Danio rerio: one gene and its partner. The protein of the gene in region 2 binds, or shares a complex with, the protein of the main gene of each other region. Links are inferred from orthologs where the notes say so. Each region holds a gene or a part of one and is shown on either strand. Other genes may lie near its edges.

Region 1 (10,548 bases), on a different chromosome or scaffold from region 2:
TAGAATTATGACTAGAGACTTTAAATTAAAATAACTGATGTTTTCTACTACTGTATTGACATTCTAAATTGCGGAAGTGCGCCTGTTTTCGCGATTGTCTTAGAACTTCCATTTCAGTCGCCTATGGGAGAAATGACTAGGAATAATAAACGGCAGAAAATGGTCAAACTACTTGCTCTACAAACAAATGTTTGCATGACTATACAGACCAAGTAGAATAATATAACAGAGAAATATCAGTTTGCAACATCAAACAGCGAAACGAGCAGTTTTTAATGTCTAAAAATGAATGTAAGTGAATGAGACCGGAAGTCTCGTGCCAAAAAGATTCAAATGGCAGCGCCTGCTCGTCGGCTAAGAATAAGGTCAATACCTGTTTGTGTTTTATTTCATCAAAATGTGACGGGGGTATTTTTTTTAAGAGTTTTTGTAGAAAACATTAAATATTTATGTAAAATAAAAAATATAAATATTAAATATTGAAGTGAAATGACACATTTTAATACACCTCAAGTTAAATAGAAAGGATTTGATATTTAACTTGTTTTAAATAACCATGACCCATTTCATAAAACAAATCTTATTTTATTAGGGCTTTTATTAAGGTACATTTATGACTTTATGACCAAGTAAAGATTTATTTTTTAAAAGAACACATTGTGTCAAAATACTGGTCACGTGACTGAAAAGTGACAAGTTTGCACCCATGTTTTATGATTTTTATCTGCTCTGATTTAAGAAACTGTAAAAGGGTGAATGACTTTTAAAGACCTGCAGAAATTCTCTCAGTGATAATTAAAATGCCAGCATTTATTGATCAGGGTTTCCTCTCTTTCATGAAATGTGCATTATTTGTCATCGTTTTTGTACAAGATGTAAATGTAATATTTTTATATAAAGAATTTTCCATTTTAGTTCTGTTTTTGTCAGCAGGACAGTACAATTGCTACAATAACACCTTAAACTAACTTCATTTCAAATTTAAATCAAGCACTATTAAGGACCTGATTTGTTTTTGAGTACTCTACAAGCCTTAAATCCGTATGTCTAAAATCGAAGTACTTTCAAAAAGTGTAGGAACCCTGGCTGATGTCTTTGAACGTGAAAGTAAAGTTTAAACCTCTTTAACCAAATTAAAGAAAGGTTTTTTATAACGTAGGGATGTGCAATGGACCCTTTTCACAAGAACTGTTATGGCGCGTTTAACGATCATCAGCATCTTAAATTAAAGCTGTATATCATTTCAGCATAGATATCGCAATGTGCTCATATACAATAGTCAAATTGCAGGACCCTCAATGTACAGTCTGGATAATAAATTATGACTTATGTGTGTTTTTGAGGCCTGTGACTGAGGGTATTAAATATATTCAGACCTGAGAAACTGTACTGTTTCTAACTTTCTTTTTTATAGGATTATTTATAAAACAAAGACACACAGTATTTAACATTTGATTATTCAACTACTACTTAAATACCGTTAGACTCATCAGAAAACCATTCAATTTTATTTACATCTTATAGTATTGATCTTTGCTTGTAGATTACTAGTTGTATTTTAACAAAATATCACAACGTTACTGTAACAGAGGCCAGCTAGCTAAGTGCTAAGCAGGTAAACCTCTCCCTCCTCTGTCTTCTAAAGGTGCTCTAGTGAAAGACGCTAGAGGCCATGGTCTTTAGACTTCCTGTTGAAGCAACCAATTCCCATACTAAGAATCACCGTTTCGATCCCAGCTCAGACCAGGTCGGGTGCAGTAGAACTGGTGGATTACACTTGGGGGCTCGTCCAGGATGAGACTGAGGCTTAGGGGGGTGAGTGTAACAGAGGCCAGCTAGCGAAGTACTAAGCAGGTAAACCTCACTTCTCTAACCTCAAAAGGTGCTCTAACGACAAACGCTAGAGGCCATGGTCTTTAGCCTCCTTGTTAGAGCAATCGACTCCCATACAACAAATTGCCAGTCACAGCTCAGACCGGGTTGGGTGCAGAGGAACCGGTGGGTTACACTTGAGGGCTCGTCTGGAATGGGAGTGAGCAGTGAGGTTTAGGAGGGTGAGTGTAACGGAGGCCAGATAGCAAAGGGCTACGCAGGTAAACGTCACTCCTCTGACCTCAAAAGGTATTCTAGACACAGAAGCTAGAGGCCATGGTCTTTAGCCTCCCTGGTAGAGCAACCGGCTTCCATTACAAAGAATCGCCAGTTTGATCCCAGCTCAGAATGGAATAGGTGCAGTAGGAACTGTGGGTTACATTACATTTTTCCAATATCATACAGCCCTATCTTAAATCTTTTTATATATTTTTAATAGATTATTTAAAAACTATTAACATTTTTATGTATTTATGTATGTGCTACATCATCTTTGCATTAAATTACCACCTATGTGTGGCATTTGAAATGCAGCGTCTATAGGGCAGGACAGTAAATTTGATGTTGTTCTATTTTCTGTCTGTCGTTATCAGTCTCACATTATTTTCTTTTCTTTCTTGAAAGTCTTGATAACACCATAGTGAAGTTTTTCTTTTACTATTTCAGCAAACAGGATTGTGAATAAAAAATATTTGTTGTACTCTCCCATTCACTTCACTCTAAATTTATCCAACTCTGACGACTTTGAACCTGGAAATGTGAAAAACATTTGCAACATGTCATTAAGATGTTTCTCATCTCTAACCTGGAATAGGCATGGCTGCTCCGAGGGCAGTCATGACAGGCGTGGGCATGCTTGGAGGAGGTGGAGCATCTGCGAAAAGCTGATGTGGGCGATCGGCCTGGGACAGTGGATTCTGTGCGGCAAGGAGACGCTCGGCTGCTGACCCATGTCTTTCACCCTTTGAGTCTTTCTTAAACGCGTATGAAACAGTGATGGGCCGATTACACAGATACTGGCCATTCATAGCCTCGATAGCCGCATCTGACGCATCAAAACTGGCAAAGTTGATGAAGGCGTAACCCTTCGAGTTGCCCGTATCGGGGTCTCGCATGATCTTGGGGGTCTGAAGGATCACACCGAAAGCGCTGAATGTGTCATAAAGTAATTTCTCGTCGATCTCAGGGTCCAAGTTGCCAATGAAGATGTTGGCACCAACGTCGAGGTTCTTGTTGTGCGCTGAAGCTTTGTTGACTCGTATGGGCTTGCCGTAAAGTTTGATCATATTCATTATTTTTATGGCGTAGTCCGCATCTTCTTCGCTGAGAAACTCCACAAAGCCATAACCTGAAGAAGAGAGAGCGATACCAGTTTTTGAAGTGATCCTATTAGGTTGTTAAAAGTTCCTAATTTTGTTTTACATGCAGGGCTCAACAATAAGGACTGCCCGGTGGCCCGGGGCCAGCTTGAAAGGCGCTCGGGACAGTAGACAGGATTGTTACTGGCCCCTATCGCACGTTATTTTTTTCGTAACCTGGTCACAACAAGTACATCGAAAACATGGCAAAATGGCAGCAACATCAAACGATGAGGCTAAAAGAAAATGTCTGTTTCTAAAGTATTGGAAGCAGACAATACATGTGTACAAAATTAAGAAACTGGAGAGAGAAAAAAAAAAGGTTGTCAGTTTGGCAAGCCATTTTTATAAAAATAATTTAGAGTTGCAATAAAATACCAGCTTTTTTTTCCATACTGCTCTTTCGTTGGCATAAAATCTTGAATTTTGCTCATTATACATTTATTACCATTTTTGAAATGTTTAAATTCTATTATTATTTAAAATATGTGGCTAAGACATAACTATTAACTTTTTGTTGTTTTTGGTGGGGGCAGTGAAAATCTCAACCACTGGCCCGATCGGCCCAGTAGACAAAATCCTTGCCGTTGAACCCTGACATGCATTCAATGTTAAAATACACTTTAATTTCTTAATACAATACATAAGAATTACTCAAATATGATTTGAGTATTGAGTACTAATTTGACTACATTTACAATATTAGGCAATGTTGATTTATCAATCAATCAATCAAATTATTTATATAGCACATTTTTACAATCAGAAGGCTGCTCAAAGTGCTTTACAGTCTTAAAAACAAAAAATAAGTTAAATTTAATGTACACCGTCCCTTGTTGTGAAATATAATAAGATAAAAATCAATATCAATTCTCTGTAGGATAGATTTGATAACACACAGGCAGTTTTTGATTGAGGTAAAGAAGGTTTTACATTCGCAAATTTATTCATTTTAACGGTTACTATATAGTTTACCACACTACTTTCAATATTCAGTCTAAATTTGCATGCAAGTATTACACTACAAACAACATTACACTATTTAATTGTCTGTGAACAGTGTTGTAGTCATCGGCTGCTAATATGGTTTCACTGTTTAGAATTTAAATATAATATTTTTCTGAAATTATATAGTTAAGGAGAAAGTCAGAATGTGCAAATATAAAACCAATTATACCTCAATCAGTTTTTGTGGACTTCCAAGTCTGCAGCCTATGAATGCAAAAGTAAGTGTGCAGAATTGCAGTTGTAACAAACAAACACAAGATTTGGGTAAAAAAAAATTATACAATAAATAATAAAAAGTACAAATAAAAACAAAATCAGTACTTATAACTGGGGTTTTGTTCAACAATGTCAACAACACAAACAAACGTAAGATTGAGCAAAACTAGATATTTAGCAGCCACTGGCTGGTATTATGCAAACTTGTTAGGAACACAGTTCCTGTATTGTTTACCACGCTACTTTGAATATATGGTCTAAAATATAATGCAACTATTTCATTGTCTGTGAACAATATTGAACTTTGATAGTCTTTGACTGCTAATGTCATTTTCCTTCTTATAATTTGCAAAGAATACTTTTGCTAAATTATATTAAGAGGAAAGACCGAATGAGGGAGTATAAAAGCAACTTTACCCCAATGGATTTAAAGACGTGGTAACTCACCCTGGTGTTGTCCTGTTACTCTGTCTTTGGGCATGTGTGTGTTTACAACAGGACCAGCTTGAAGGAAAAGCTCCCACAAAAGAGGCTCAGAGACCTTCTCATCGAGACCACCCACATATACAGTGGCATCTGCAGATAAAAGATGATCAATATAAATGACAACACTGAACACAAACATAGTATTTTATTTAACGTTAGATGCATTATTTATATACAATTTATTAATTCCGATAATAATAAGCATATTGAAATATGCATGATTGTTTTGTTACACTTCATTAAAACCAAAACTCAAACGTTTCTTTGTTTTTATTTGTTAAGCCAACATGTTTGAATGAATGAAAATGAGCGATTTGACTGTATCATAGAACATAGGAAGAACTTAAGGTGTTCAATAATGCTGCAATCCATCACTTACCCCGAACACTACATAACAATTTCACTAAAAAGTTAAATTTATCAAATATACCTTGATTTCGTTCTGAAATCGGTCCCGCCGCCATGATGAACCCCGGCGTGTGTACAGACGGAAGCAGTTCTTTTTGCTGAAATCACCTCAACATCGTCTTGTCATCGCAGTGCTGCCGCCCACAGGAGAGGAAGATGAACATTGCCGATTTTGTGGATGTCAAATTATGATTTACTACGTCCTTTGTCTGTTTTTGTTCGGAAGTTACTTAATATGTCTTTTATGTTGTTAAAGGTCATAAAATGGAGCCACAGCTGTGCTAAGCCAGGACCCAGTCAGACTGTCTAATGGACAGATCTGTGGCGACGAAACAAACAGTAGGCTACCGCATGGTTTTTATCACATAAGTAACAATTAATTAAATATGCAAGTTAATATTATCACGAGCTGTATAAAGTACTCAAATGACCTACCATACTTAAGTGGAAGTAGAAATACACAAACTGCTTGTTCAAGCTGAAGCAACACAATTCTTGTGATTTGTGGGGGCAACTTAATTGTTTTATGTTTAAACCAATTAAATTTGTTGAGACAATGAACAAATTGTGTGGAATTTTTTACAGTGTACTAACAAAGTAAAAAAGTGAGGTAAAAAAGTACAAATTAAAGTTTTTAATTAATGGTTAAAAACAAATAAGACTTAAAATGGCACACAAGTGGATAGACTTTATAAGAATGTATTAAAAATAAATTTTGGGTGAGCTAAGTTACCTCAGTATACTTTTAGATTTGATGATGAAAGAAGTTTCTTTTAGATAAGTAATAACATACGCTGAAATGTGTGCTGTTAACATACAAACTTTTAAATTTATCAATAAGCTATATGCACAGCTAGTTTTTTTTAGCCAATGATAAACTTCTAGCGAAAGCTTTATAAAAGCTTTAATTTCATAAGGTTTCTTTTACAGCATCGATGTTGTAATATAATTACAATACATTCAGTTAAATATTTGGTTGGTAAAGCATAAAAACCGTTTAAATGCAGGCGCCGTCATTAGCAGCGAGTAAGCGCAAAAACTTTAAAAAAAATACTGAGGAAAAATTAATTTCCATATTTTAATGACATGGTGTGGAAAAATAGTCTATAAATTAATGCAGTGTTTTTATGCTAGGTCTGATACCCACTATATATCGCATCTCAGCCAGGCAGTGAAGATTGCTGTTATTTAAAGAAATCAGATCTTAAACGCTGCAATTTAGTTTGGGATGACAATTAACCGGAAGCAATGGGGCTGACTGACTGAAATTAAAAGTTTGTGTGCATATACCCCATTGTGTGTAAGATGGAGGAAAAAACAACAGTGAAGCAATTACTTTTCAAAGTGAAATAAAATGATAGGCATTATAAAATTAATGGTTTTCTTCAAATCAAGCACAAGCACTCAATATAAATTACATTTTTGTCATTTAAAAACGTTTCCCAAAAATTAAACTAAAGTACATTAATTTAAGGTGGCATGGTGGCTTAGTGGTTAGTGCTGTTGCATAGAGTTTGCATGTTCTCCGCAAGTTGGTTTCCTCTAGGTGCTCCGGTTTCTCCCACAGTCCAAAGACATGTGCTATAGGTGAATTAAATAAACTAAATTGGCCCTGTGTATGAATGTGTGTGTGAATGATAGAGTGTATGGGTGTTTTCCAGTACTGGGTTGTGCCCAAGGTGCAAATTATACATTCACCAACAGGAGGGTAACCTTTTTGGTATGTTAACGTTAGTTTGTGTAATACATGCTTTAGTGAATCACATGAATGTATTTATTTGAGCTAGTTTAATTAATCTGATTTATTAATAAACATATTTAAGTTTCCAGTGTTTTGTGCGATATTTAGTGTATTCTGACCTACGATATCCTCTGATTAGCTATTCCAGAGTTTACTGTAGGTCAAACTATAAAAACTATGCATCTAATTTGAGTTCACTTTCAGGTTATATGTAGAAACAAACTGCTGTTTTACAAGAAAAGTGTCTTACGAACACTTTGGTTGTCTATCGGTGCTTTGATCTGATGGTTTCAGACTGATAAATAATTTGTTTCTCACATAGACTGATTGTGCATTCACAATGATATGAATAAATATAGGGGTGGTCAAATGTATATATAATCTATTTTTTTCATTCATTTTATTTTATTTTCAGTCCATTTATTAATCAGAAGTTGCTACAGCAGAATAAACCGCCAACTTATAGCCAGGGCCAGACGGAATCTGCGGACGTTTTTTGCTATTTCTGCTGAGAATTTTGGTAAAAATCTGTGGTTTTCTGCGGAATTATTTTGGGAGTATCCAGCAGAGTATCATAACTAAGACCTTAATGTATTAAATAAAAAGAAATAAATTACTGAATAAAAACTGAATAAATTCAGATATACACACTTACTCAAGTAAATAAACAGAATTAATGATGGGCTAAAAATCTGCAGAAATCTGCAGAATTCTGCGGAAAATCTGCAGAATTCTGTGTGCGCAGATTCTGTGTGGGCCTACTTATAGCATATGTTTTACACAACAGATGCCCTTCCAGCTGCATCACTGGGGAACACCCATACACACTCATTCACACACACTATGGACAATTTATCTATGGTCTATACCCAATTCACCTATATAGCACATGTCTTTGGACTGTGGGGGAAATCGGAGAACACGGAGGAAACCCATGCGAACACAGGGAGAACACGCAAACTCCACACAGAAATGCCAACTGACCCAGCCGGGGCTTGAACCAGCAACCTTCTTGTTGTAAGGCGATGGTGCTACCTACTGTGCCACTGTGACGCCCCTATTATTATCAGTTTTTATATTATCTTTTAAGAAACAAATCAGAGTAACCTCTATTTCTCTCTTTTTAGAGGACTGACCCCCATACACGCTGTTTTGATGTGCTTCAGGTGGGATAAAGCATTATTTAGGGGGGTCAGTTCTCCCGCGAAACCCCCTGTAATTCGCACCCTGGTTGCAACGCTGTAAGTGCATCCGCTGCATAAAACATATGCTAAAATAGTTGGCGGTTCACTCCACTGTGTCGATCTTGAAGGAAAGCTGAAGGAAAGCTGAAGGAAAATGAATGAATGAACATTCATTTAATAAGATTACACACATATTTCACACCCCTGGCTGTCTGTACCAAACAATATACACAATGGTTATTGTGAAAAAAGATGCATGAACAGCAGAGGTGTGATTCACAAGCCTAAACATGAGCCAAACACTGGGCTAAACAGGTAAATTTGCATTAAAATGAGCTAAATTCAAAGCTTTTGTTTTGATTACGTCAAACTAATCAAAACCCCTTTTATTTTATGTTTACAGAAACTCAACCTGTTGCCTATAAAGATACATGTTGATGCAGGACGGCTTGTTTTTCTGACTCAGCTCTTCTGATATTTGTTTTTGCGCATACAGAACTGGATACATACACGCAGTCGGAGTGAAGGAACGGTGATTTAACAGTAGTGTGTGTGAGAGAATGAAGTCACTCCCATTGTGTGTGTGTGTGTGTGTGTGTGTCAGTGGTTCTACCAGTTTCACCTGCTTTCCCACCCAAACTGTCTCAAAGAAGAGTCTGGCTGAATCTGCATTTAGACCTGCAAGAATGGATCAATAAAGCTGTCGGAGAAACCTGAGCATCTGCTTTTCTCCTCCCAGTGGATTCTGAGCTCGAGTAACACGTATGCACTAAACACAGACTGACACATTACAGCTAGAGACAACATGGGGACAGATTTAGCCTACAACTTTGTCTTCAAAGGTAAGTTTCAGTCAGCTGATTGAAGATTAAATGCTTTTACTGTGATTGCTGCGTCTGATGCCTAGCATGCTAATCTAATATATAAAAGATATTTGTTATTTTGTATTTTCATGTATTTCCAATTGTGTCAGAAATTGAAAGGGGTAGTTCACCCAAAAATTAATATTTACTCACTATTTATTCACCTTCAAGCGGTTCCAGAATAGATATGAAGATATTTTGAGGAAAGTTAAAAATCTGTAACCATTGACTTTCATAGTAGGAAAACAAATACAATGGAAGTCAATGGAAACAGGTTTCCAGCATTTTTCTAAATATCTTCTTTTGTGTTCAACAGAAGAAAGAATGTCAAACAGGTTTGCAACTAGTGAAGTGTGGAAATTGTATTTTCCTTTAACTACGCATCATTCAAAGTAAGTTAAATGCTGTCTTGGTTGTCTTTCAGTGGTTTTAATTGGAGAATCAGGGGTTGGAAAGAGCAACCTGCTGTCAAGGTTTACCAAAAACGAGTTCAACCATGACAGTCGCACCACTATTGGCGTGGAGTTCAGCACTCGCTCTGTTCAGGTGGACAGTATCACCATCAAAGCCCAGATCTGGGACACTGCGGGTCTAGAGCGCTACAGGGCCATCACCTCAGCGTACGTCCCTCACTTCATCTTCCTTTCATCTCAGATTCATGTACATTTCCTTGTTTTAGATTATCTGGAATTTGTTGCAATTGATTTAGACTCACACCCAGAACCACTCCTATATGTCTTTTTAACTTGGTACACAGTTTAAAGGATAGTTACTGACAGCTACAGTGCTTTTTGCATTATTTTACTATAGCATAGAAAGTGATTGTGTTTTAAAGTTTCTACCACTACACTTAAAAATGCAAAATTATTTCAACTCAACCAGTCAAATTTCTAATTCATTCATTCATTCATTCATTCATTCATTCATTCATTCATTCATTCATTCATTCATTCATTCATTCATTCATTTATTTTCCTTTGGCTAAGTCTCTATTTCAGAGGTAACCACAGTGGAATGAACCACTGACTGTTCCAGTATATATTTTACACAGCATATGCAATCTTGGGTGCAAACCCTGTACTGGGAAACACCCATACACACTCTTTCACACACATACGGCGAATTTAGTTTATTCAAGTCACCTACAGTGCATGTCTTTGGACTGTGGGGGCAACCAGAGCACCCGGAGGAAACCCACGGCAACATGCAAACTGTACACAGAAATGCCAACTGACCCAGCTGGGACTTGAAGCAGAGATCTTCTTGCTGTGAGGCGACAGTGCTAACCACTGAGCCACCGTGCCACCCTAATTTCTATTTCAACTAGTCAAATATTGGCATACCCAGTTACTGGGTTAAAATTGAAGTGCGATGGACACATCTGTGCTGCCTTCAACATTCAATCAGATGAA
Region 2 (10,634 bases):
TATTGGGTATAGGGCAGTTGAGATCACTGGGGAACAAGAAGCTGTGGCAGTTGAAATATGCGATGGAACACAGAAAGTTAGAATAATAAACTATTATAATCCATGTGATAAATTAAGTAAGGACAATCTAGAACATATCCAAGGGAATGGAAATAATAAAATCGTGTGGTGCGGGGATTTTAATGCTCACAACACTTTATGGGGGAGTAAAAAAACAGATTACAATGGACTAATTATAGAAGATATGCTGGATTGGGGAGGATTAGTATGTATCAATGATGGAGGTTACACAAGAGTAGAGTTAATAAAAGGAAAATACTCAAATTTAGATTTAACACTAGTTTCTGAAAGCCTAGCTGGAAGATGTGATTGGAAAGTATTAAAGCAAAACACAATTGGTAGTGATCATTATCCAATTCTAAGTTCAATTGGAATACAGATAATTCGAACTGTGGTAGAAAGAATGCCAAGGTGGAAATTCAGAACAGCTGACTGGGAAAATTTTAAGGAATTATGTAATAATAGATTGTCGGAAATAGATAGATGTGAGGATGATGTGGAAGTTATTAATTCTAAACTTTGTGAAGTTCTTAAGAGCACTGCGGAAGAAGTAATAGGAAGAAAAAAAGCTAATGATAAGAAGAAAGCAGTTCCTTGGTGGAATGAAGAGTGCAGCGAAGTAGTAAGTAAAAGGAATAATGCATTAAAAAAAGTTAGAAAAACATTAAATTATAATGACTTTATAAATTATAAAAGAGCTCAGGCAATAGTGAGGAAAATAATTAGAAGGGCAAAAAAGAATTATTGGAGAGAGTACTGTGACAGTATTGGGGAGGATGTCAATGTATCTGACATATGGGGTATGATAAGGAAAATGGCAGGAAAACAAAGAAATAATAATATTCCTACATTGACAGAAAATAACAGATTAGTAATTTCTGATATGGAGAAAGCTGAAGTTCTAGCAAAAAATTTTGCCAGAATTCATAGTAACGCTAACCTATCTGAAGAAATTAGAAGAAATAGGGAACAGATCTTGATCAGGAATCCGTGGTTGTTGGAAAACAAAGGGCCATCTGAAAGTACATTAGATAGGGAATTTACATTATTTGAGTTAAAAAAAGCATTGGCAGAAAGTAAGAAAACCTCACCTGGAAAAGATGAAATTTGTAACGAAATGATTAAGCATTTATCAGATAATTCATTATGTATAATACTAAAATTATTTAATAAAGTATGGGAGTCAGGGATTTTACCAGCAGAGTGGAAACACGGTGTCATAATACCAATTGCAAAACCAGGTAAGGATCAGTCACAACCAAATAACTACAGACCCATAGCATTAACTTCTAATATATGTAAATTAATGGAACGCATGGTAATGAGCAGACTGGTTTATGCTATCGAAAAAGAAAACTTTTTTGCCGCATACCAAAGTGGTTTCAGGAAGGGACGTAATACAATGGATTCAGTGATTTGTTTGGAATCAGAAATAAGAAAGGCACAAGTAAATAAGGAAGTGTTGGTGGGAGTATTTTTCGATATTGAAAAAGCATACGACATGATGTGGAGAGAAGGACTTTTAATTAAATTAGAAAAAATGGAAATTAATGGAAAAATGTATAACTGGATCAAGAATTTTTTGTTAAAAAGAACAATACAAGTTAGAGTGGGTTCTGCATTCTCCCAAATATATAAGGTAGAGAACGGAACACCACAAGGGAGTGTTAGCAGCCCTATCCTATTTAATATCATGATAAATGACATCTTTTCAAAAATGGAGTTGGGGATCGGGAGATCTTTATATGCAGATGATGGTGCGCTATGGAAGAGGGGAAGAAATGTAGTTCATGTAGAAAGGTGTTTACAGAATGCAGTGAGGACAGTACAAGATTGGGCGGATGAGTGGGGGTTTAGATTTTCTACTGATAAAACTCAGGTTATTTGTTTTTCAAAAAAGAAAGTTAATCCAAATATAAATATTAATATATACAGACAAAAAATAGAACAGGTATCAGTAATTAGATATTTAGGAATGTGGATGGATGTAAAACTGAATTTTAATATGCATATTCAAAAAATAATAGATAAATGTAAAAAAGGAATTAATGTAATGAGGTGTCTGGCAGGAGCTGAATGGGGTGCATGTCGTTTCTCGCTTAAAAGAATCTATAATGCACTGGTAAGATCTACTATAGATTATGGATGCGTAGTATATAGTTCCGCAGCTAAAACTCAGTTGTTGAAAATAGATGCGATTCAATCTCAGGCACTAAGAATATGCTGTGGAGCACTAAGAACTACACCCATTATAGCATTACAAGTAGAGATGGGGGAAATGCCTCTAAAAATTAGAAGAATTAAGTTAAAAATGAGATATTGGGTTAGCATTAAAAGCCAAGAAGAGAGGCACCCAGTAAAAACAGTACTAAAGGAATGTTGGGAATATGGACATAAAAAGATAGATAGTTTTGGTTGGACAGTAAAAGACGAGGCTCAAAATATGGGCATAAGAGACATCAATTTAGCCCCTGCTGTGCCAACCTCTGCGATTCCGCCTTGGCTTTTCCATAAACCAGTAGTCGATTTATTACTACATGAGGAAAAACACAAAAATAATATGTTAAATGAAAAAGAAATACAACAATACATAAATCAGTCATATTTCAATTATTTACAGATATATACAGATGGGTCAAAAGATCCTAAAGATGAAAAAACGGCAGTAGTAGTTTACATCCCAAAATTCAATATTAAAATATCAAAAAGAATAACGGACCGACTTTCTGTGTACACTACAGAAATTGTAGCTATACTTCTTGCTCTTCAGTGGATAGAAGACGTGAAACCATTAAGATCAGTAATATGCTCCGATTCTCTGTCAGTACTAAACAACTTAATTACTGGAACATCTAAGGCAAGACAGGACATAATGAATGAGATAATGCAAAATTTATTCAGAATCAGACAGGGTGGACTTTTTGTAAGCTTCTTGTGGATTCCTGGTCATATGGGAGTAGTAGGTAATGAAGAGGCAGACCAACTTGCAAAGGAAGCATTACAACATACTCAGATAGAAATAAAAATAAAAATAAGTAAGTCAGAGGTAAAAAACATAATTGCAAAAGAAACAGGTAGAATGTGGCAAAGGGAGTGGGATAATGGAGAAAAAGGCAGACATATGCATAATATTCAAGGATGTGTGGGTGGTACTAGAAATAAGTTTAGTAATAGAAGGAATGATGTGGTAATAACTAGGTTGCGTGCTGGTCATTGTTTGCTAAACCAGTATAAGTTCAGAATAGGGAAGCACGAGACAGGATGTTGTGATAAATGCGGGAAAATAGAAACATTAGAACATGTAATTACAGAATGTGTGGCATATGACAATCAGAGATATCAGTTAGTTCAAGGATTAAGTATTTATGGGATTAAAAATTTGTCATTTCAGACCCTATTAGGAAACAGTTCAAATCAAGTTGAAATAATAATGCAATTAATTAATTACTTAAAGGAAACAAAATTGATTAATAGAATTTAAGAATAGCTTAGCAAAATAAGGAAATAAAATTTACTATGATTTTTAACTAGTATTTTTTTTCTTTCTTTCTCTCCTCTCCTCCTACTGTTATTACTGTTCTCTCTTCCCTATGGTAATCTCATCCCTCCATTCGTATCATATATCTTTAGTACTCATGCTTTTTCCAACATTATGCGCTCCACACTCCTATCCAGTAGGTGGCGGAAATGCACCATTTAAGTTGGTCTGCCAACCGCCATTAACCCCATAAGAAGAAGAAGAATTTCATTGGTTGTCCGTTTTGTGTTGTGTGTGTGGCTGCTGGCTAACGAGAGGTAAGTGAGTTATGTAAAACTGCCTTCATAATTTGTATAACTTTAGCCATTCTTGCGACTTTCAGTGTTCATTATTTTATAACGGTTGAGTCTTTAGCTTCAAATAATCTTTCATTTTACACAGTAACGTTTGAATCGGTCCGAGAAGAGCCAGTAGTGTCGCAGTCATGCCGCCTGGGCCTGTGCAGATCATGCAGCCGGAGCTGAATAACAAGGTATGAAGCTTTCAGAATTTATTACTTTCATAGACACGATGGGTAGGTTTATCCGATTTATATTCATCTGCTTACATTTTTCGTCTTTCATAAGTATAATACTGGGCATTATTGCAATTTTATAATTTATTGTTTTGAGTAGAAGCATTACTTGTTTAAAGTTAAACTTTAATGTATATGTTATCTGTTTTGTTATCTTTTGTAGCAGTCATTGTTGTATATATTCCCAGCATAATGTTGTTTTATTATTAGTATAAATATAATATAATATAAAAATATATATTATGTAAATGTACTGTTTTATTTCCCAAAATCGATGTGGTCAAAGACAACCATTTTAAAAGATAACGTAGTAGTGTCTACTTTATTGTTTAGAAAAAAAGGTTAATAAAAATTAAGATCTAAAAATATATATACTTTTGTAAAAAATGACAACAACAACAAAAGTAAACTTACATGTACTTATTAAAATAAGTAAATGATCCTTCTGCATTTTATTGTTTTTTCTTTAAGTAAAAATTTGGATAATAGATAGTTAAATTTGAAATATTTCATTTGCTTATTTTGGGGGCTGCAATGTGATCTTTAAATGTTTTTCTAATGTCATCAAAATATTCTTCAGATGTTAATTGAATAATTATTCTTATTTTTCTTTATAATGAAAAAAATATAAATACACAAATTACTTGTTAGTTTATAAATATACATATATTGTTTTGATTCTTAAATTAAAAATGAATATGCAAATTCTATATACAAATAATATTTAAAAATTAGGGGTGTTTGAATTGAATGTAAATTTATTGATATTTATTGTAAAAACTAATTAGTTTGTAATATAAATTTCAGTTTATTATCAGATTCTGTTTTATTGATGTTGTGAAATGAGAAAGGACAGTTGTGCAATTATAATAAAAAGTAATAATTTTAAGGACCATTTACAGTGAGAAGTGTATTCTGTTGTACAATAGAAACACTTTTGGCTGCAGTAAATCCAATTCGCTTGATTTTTTTCTGTTTATCTGATATGGTATTCTCACATAACATGGTAAAGTTTCTGAGATTGACACCACAAGCATCACCCATGCTTCAATATTTGTGTAGTAAATGAAACTGTGGCATTCATTCAGAAACACGCCTCATAAATATAGACTTTGTATTTAACTTATATTTTAGTGGTCTTAAAATTCTCACACAATAGTACACATCACAACTTCATTTTAAGGACATGATTAGTTTTAATGTATTAATTCAAAGCTTGTAACATTTAATGACATTGTATAATTAATTCCATATTTATGACTGTATTCTGTGATTTTTGTTTGTGTTTTCTGTATTATTTTGCTCATATTAAATAAGCTATGAGATGTTTTAATCAACAGCCCGAAGAACCGAAAGAAGAAACTCCAGCCACAAAGCCCATAGTGGGAATCATCTACCCTCCTCCTGAAGTGCGAAACATCGTTGACAAGACTGCCAGCTTCGTAGCCAGGTTTGACATCCTACCACATATATCATGTAGTGCAGTATTTCATTTGTGTACTTTTATTAAATCAATAATTAATTCCATTTATTTTGTCAAAGGAATGGACCCGAGTTTGAGGCCAGAATTCGACAGAATGAGATCAACAACCCAAAGTTCAACTTCCTCAACCCGAGCGACCCATACCATGCCTACTACCGACACAAGGTCAATGAGTTCAAGGAGGGCAAAGCTCAGGAACCATCCGCAGCCGTTCCTAAAGTCATGCAGCATCCTCAGCAGCTTCCTCAGAAGGTCAGCAACTTCTCTGTGGCTTTATATAAATATTATCAATATTATAGATGTAGACAGATAGTTTTATAATAGTTAAAATCAAGCCATAATCCAGCAGACAGATATAAAAAATTTTAATAGCTTTCTATGTTATAAAGAGCTTATGTTTTGTGATTATTTAGGTCCAAGCACAGGTGATCCATGAGACGGTGGTGCCAAAAGAGCCTCCACCTGAGTTTGAGTTCATTGCTGACCCTCCCTCCATCTCAGCCTTTGACCTGGATGTGGTGAAACTGACCGCACAGTTTGTTGCCCGTAATGGCCGTCAGTTTCTCACACAGCTGATGCAGAAGGAACAGAGGAACTACCAGTTTGACTTTCTCCGGCCACAGCACAGTCTGTTCAACTACTTCACAAAACTAGTGGAGCAGTATACAAAGGTAAATTATACTTTTTAGAAATGCTGAGGGCTTATTGGTTTGCAAAGAGATTAGAGATGTTCAGTATTTTTTCCTCTAATAATATTTTTGATTAATGTTTAAAAAAATGCAAGCTCAATAAATTAGCAAAAAAATTATTAAAACAATTATTCCATTTGTGAAAGCATTTAGAAGATACATTAGGGCTGGGGAAAAAATTGGTGATTTCCATGCACATTTTGTCAATAAAGCAATAAAAGTAAAGTAAGCTACATTCAGCTGGAGCAGCATTTGCCACACATAATTCACTATAAAGCTACACAAAACTTGCAACACTTGATGAATCTGTAGTTGTGTCTTTATTAATTAGTCTGAATTAGCGAAAGCAGTTAAAGTTTCCTTTTTAACACAATACTCTTTGGATTTCTTTTAGTTTCTGTAAGAGCAGCCTCTGGCATTTAGAGGAGATTTATTGCTGATCATGCTGTGCTTTTCTGACAATATGTGCATGACAAATGTAGCTTTGCTAAATGATGTTTGGGATTTACTTTAGATTAATTGACCAGTCCTAAGATATATTGTAGTTCGGTAATATCACACAAACAAATACTTTTTCCCTGAAAATCAATTGCAAATGTGAAACCCCCAAATGCAAAATACAGGTTACAAATACAGGTTATTCAAGTGTGACATTAAATAACTTGTTTGATTGGCTTTTTGCAGGTTTTGATTCCTCCAAAAGGTCTTCTGCTGAAACTGAAGAAAGAAGCAGAGAATCCTCGAGAGGTCTTGGACCAGGTAATCAAATATAGAAATGAACACCAAAATTTAAAATTTCAGGTCACACGGGGTGTGAATGAAAAAAAAAAAAAAAAACATAAGATATTGGTAGACAAAATCATATTTAGAGTTTTTTTGTGCCCTAAACATACTCTTTGAGCTTTGAATGATTGCAGTTTAACCAGTGAAGTTTCATGGATTTTTTTAACAATGTCTTTGATTCTTTTTTTTTGAACTTTTAATGTCTCACGAGTATTGCTGCCTATACATGACAATATCTAAATCTTACATTTATGATGAGATAAAATCTTTAAATATCAACTCTTTATGTTCTAAAGAACAAAAAAGGTTTCTGAGGATTGGAACAACATGAGCATAAGCAATTAATAATAGATTTTTAAAAATCTGGGTGAACTAACCTTTAGATAAAACGTTTTAGAAGACACATTTTACCAAAGCCATTTACATTTGATCAGATCTTGCTTTTCCTGAGGAAAAAACTCATGATATTGAACAGCATGCTCTGCTGTTATAGCAACAGGAAAATCTTGTAGCAAAACTGAAGGTCAATCAGACAGCAGAACTTAAATACTAAATATGATTGATATGTTTTAGGAAGTCTTTTGATTATGAAAATCACAAAAATATCCCTGTATGTGTAGTGATGAGATTGACCTTATTAGTATAATATCTCATTGTTCCCTTGTGTTGTAGGTGAGGTATCGTGTGGAATGGGCCAAATTCCAGGAACGAGAGAGGAAGAAGGAAGAGGAGGAGCGAGAGAAGGAGAGAGTGGCATATGCTCAGATTGACTGGCATGACTTTGTTGTGGTGGAGACAGTTGACTTTCAGCCTAATGAGCAAGGTAAGCATGTGTAACACAGGATATTTAAGGGGTTCGCACAAACATTCAATTGCACCAGAAGAAAGCTCTCAATTTGTACATTTTGTTATTAGATTTTTTTTATTAATATTACTGTCAATAATTGTATTAATAGGTTAGTATATTGATTAAAATATTAGTAATTTTGTTAATGCTATTTTTATGATTTTAGTTTCAGCAATAATATATCATTAATGTGTTTAATAGTGTTTTTGTCTTGCCTAAATACTACTTTTATATGTACAGTGCAAATTATTAATTATTACTCTTATACATTTACAGGTAATTTCCCTCCTCCAACAACTCCTGAGGAGCTGGGTGCTCGTATCCTCATCCAGGAGCGCTATGAGAAGTTTGGAGAGAGTGAGGAGGTAGAGATGGAGGTGGAGAGTGAAGATGAAGATGATGAGAGGGAGGGCAGAGAAGATGGACATGCAGCTCAGCCTGACCAGGACACACAGCTGCAGGACATGGATGAGGTGAGACACAAGGCTGCACAAGGGCTCATTCCATGTATCATGTTTATGCATCAGCATAGATGAGCAGTTTGTGGAAGTAGGATCTACATTTTTCTGACTGACTAGCACTTGTTCTTTGTTTCTCAATAGGGCTCTGATGAGGATGATGATGGCATGAAAGCTCCTCTGCCCCCTGATAACCCCCTGCCACCGCCTCTGCCCCCCACCCCAGACCAGGTTATCATTCGCAAAGACTACGACCCCAAGGGTGAGATTCCCACTACATTTATTAAAAAGCATACAAAAAGGACATATATCATTTGCTTCATTCATTCAGAAAATTGTTTTATTATTGGTTTATTATCAGTTAATTCTTGAAAACGCTTGAATTTTAATCTAGTGTTTAAGTTTGAAAAGTGCTTTGATTTTTAAATAAAGCGCTTTAAACTGCTTGAAAAGGCATTACAAGGAAAGTTTATTTATATAGCACATTTCATAGACAATGGTAATTGAAAGTGCTTTACATAAACAAAAATAAAATAAACAAGTATAAGAAAACAAAGAACAAAAGAATTGTTGTTGTCTGCGCCATTAGCCTAGTGGTTAAGTGTGTCGACATATAGCAACAAAGTGCTTACGATGACCTGAGCTCAATTCCCGGCTCAAGGTCCTTTACCGATCCTTCCATTTTCTCTCTGCTTCACACAATTTCCTGTAAATATTTTCCACTGTCCTATCAATCAAAGGTTAAAAACCCCTGAAAATAATTATAAAAAAGACAAAAATAGAATTGTTCTGCTTTCATAATAATTGAATTTACCAAATAGGGGGTAATTAACTATTTAATTAAAATTAAATATATATTTTAGCTTTTTCATAAAATTAAAGCTAACTCCATGGAGATTGCCACTTCATGGTGGAACATGCATATAATTTAAAATAAATACTCATTTATTAGGATAAAAGATTAAAGATGACGCATCAAGATGGATGTGAATTACTTTTAAAGGGGAAAATGCCAGTAAATCATTGGGGCTTGGGGTAAACATTGTAAAAAATGTTGTTTTAGAATACTTTACTGTACTGTATGTATTTATAGTTACTAATAACTGTTTAACCTAATAAAGTTTTCTGATTTTGATTGTAATGCAATAATGTGCACCTTTTTCAAAACTGCTTTGAAATAATAATTAATGAGATAAGTTATATACGCATAAACATGAAATAAATTGAACTATAGAATACTATAAAAAATAGCATCTTGTAAAGTGCTGTAAAAGTATAAAAATGCTTCTGGGAAGTACTTAAAGTGCTTACATTTGAATTTATAGAAGATGTAGGAACCCTGTATTATGTAAAATTGAAAAATATGCTTTGATTTCTATTTTGTATTTATTTATTAATTTTTGTATTTTTTTTATGTCATTTAAAATTAGGTTATCCCATGAAAAAAGACTTGGATGCTGAGATAGCATTAAAGTAAACATATAACTAACTAAGTGACTTTGTCTATTTTCCCCTCAGCTTCTAAGCCTCTTGCTCCGGTGGCCACACCAGACGAGTACCTCATCTCCCCCATCACGGGTGAGAAGATCCCTGCCAGTAAGATGCAGGAGCACATGCGCATTGGCCTGCTGGACCCCCGCTGGCTGGAGCAGCGTGACCGCAGCATCCGAGAGCGGCAGATTGAGGAGGAGGTGTACGCTCCCGGCCTGGACATCGAGAGCAGCCTGAAGCAGCTGGCCGAGAGACGTACTGATATCTTCGGTGTGGAAGAAACGGCCATCGGTAAGAAGATTGGAGAAGAGGAGATACAGAAACCAGAGGAGAAGGTGAGAAGAGTTTTAAGATACCTCAATAAGTCCACAGAACCAAAACTGTGCTCATAGCTAAAAAAAACACACACACAAAACATATTTTTTGAGTTATACTTGTGTTTTTTGGGCAAATTAGATATAAAATGATTAACATTCTATTCAAATTTATTACAATGAAATAGTTTTCTCACCAAACTGACATTTTTAAGCCAGCCAAAAATTCTAGTAAAATGTTGTGTGACTTTATCTTTGTCAATGCTGTTAAATAAACCTTATAATTGGTGTAACATAATCAGAAAATAGTCAGTAATATAGTATTATAGTAATAGTAATATAGTATAGTATAGTATACCATTCATTTAGTTGTTCAGGCATAACACAAAATGAACAGATCTTGAGGATAACAAGTGTCTAACAGCTCTTCCTTTTCCTCTGCAGGTCACCTGGGACG

What was found. Proteins that work in one complex are often made in the same cells at the same time.
Region 1: sf3a1 (region 2) and sf3b4 share a complex: the UniProt entries of both Homo sapiens proteins name them as parts of the 17S U2 SnRNP complex. The link is inferred for Danio rerio from reciprocal best matches to the Homo sapiens genes SF3A1 and SF3B4.

What each region holds. Positions count from the first base shown.
Region 1 is NC_133194.1:8,475,064-8,485,611, reverse strand, and holds the start of sf3b4 (splicing factor 3B subunit 4), read right to left. Parts: upstream 5,433-10,548; 5' UTR 5,405-5,432; coding exon 5,371-5,404; intron 5,031-5,370; coding exon 4,902-5,030; intron 3,221-4,901; coding exon 2,678-3,220; intron 1-2,677. Other genes in the region: rab25a (ras-related protein Rab-25a), read left to right, coding at 9,079-9,115, 9,561-9,756. UniProt on the Homo sapiens protein: Component of the 17S U2 SnRNP complex of the spliceosome, a large ribonucleoprotein complex that removes introns from transcribed pre-mRNAs.
Region 2 is NC_133183.1:43,420,007-43,430,640, forward strand, and holds the start of sf3a1 (splicing factor 3A subunit 1), read left to right. Parts: upstream 1-3,837; 5' UTR 3,838-3,855; exon of another isoform or gene 3,856-3,859; intron 3,860-3,979; 5' UTR 3,980-4,022; coding exon 4,023-4,070; intron 4,071-5,452; coding exon 5,453-5,562; intron 5,563-5,654; coding exon 5,655-5,847; intron 5,848-6,008; coding exon 6,009-6,266; intron 6,267-6,968; coding exon 6,969-7,043; intron 7,044-7,739; coding exon 7,740-7,890; intron 7,891-8,190; coding exon 8,191-8,387; intron 8,388-8,516; coding exon 8,517-8,634; intron 8,635-9,890; coding exon 9,891-10,198; intron 10,199-10,621; coding exon 10,622-10,634. UniProt on the Homo sapiens protein: Component of the 17S U2 SnRNP complex of the spliceosome, a large ribonucleoprotein complex that removes introns from transcribed pre-mRNAs.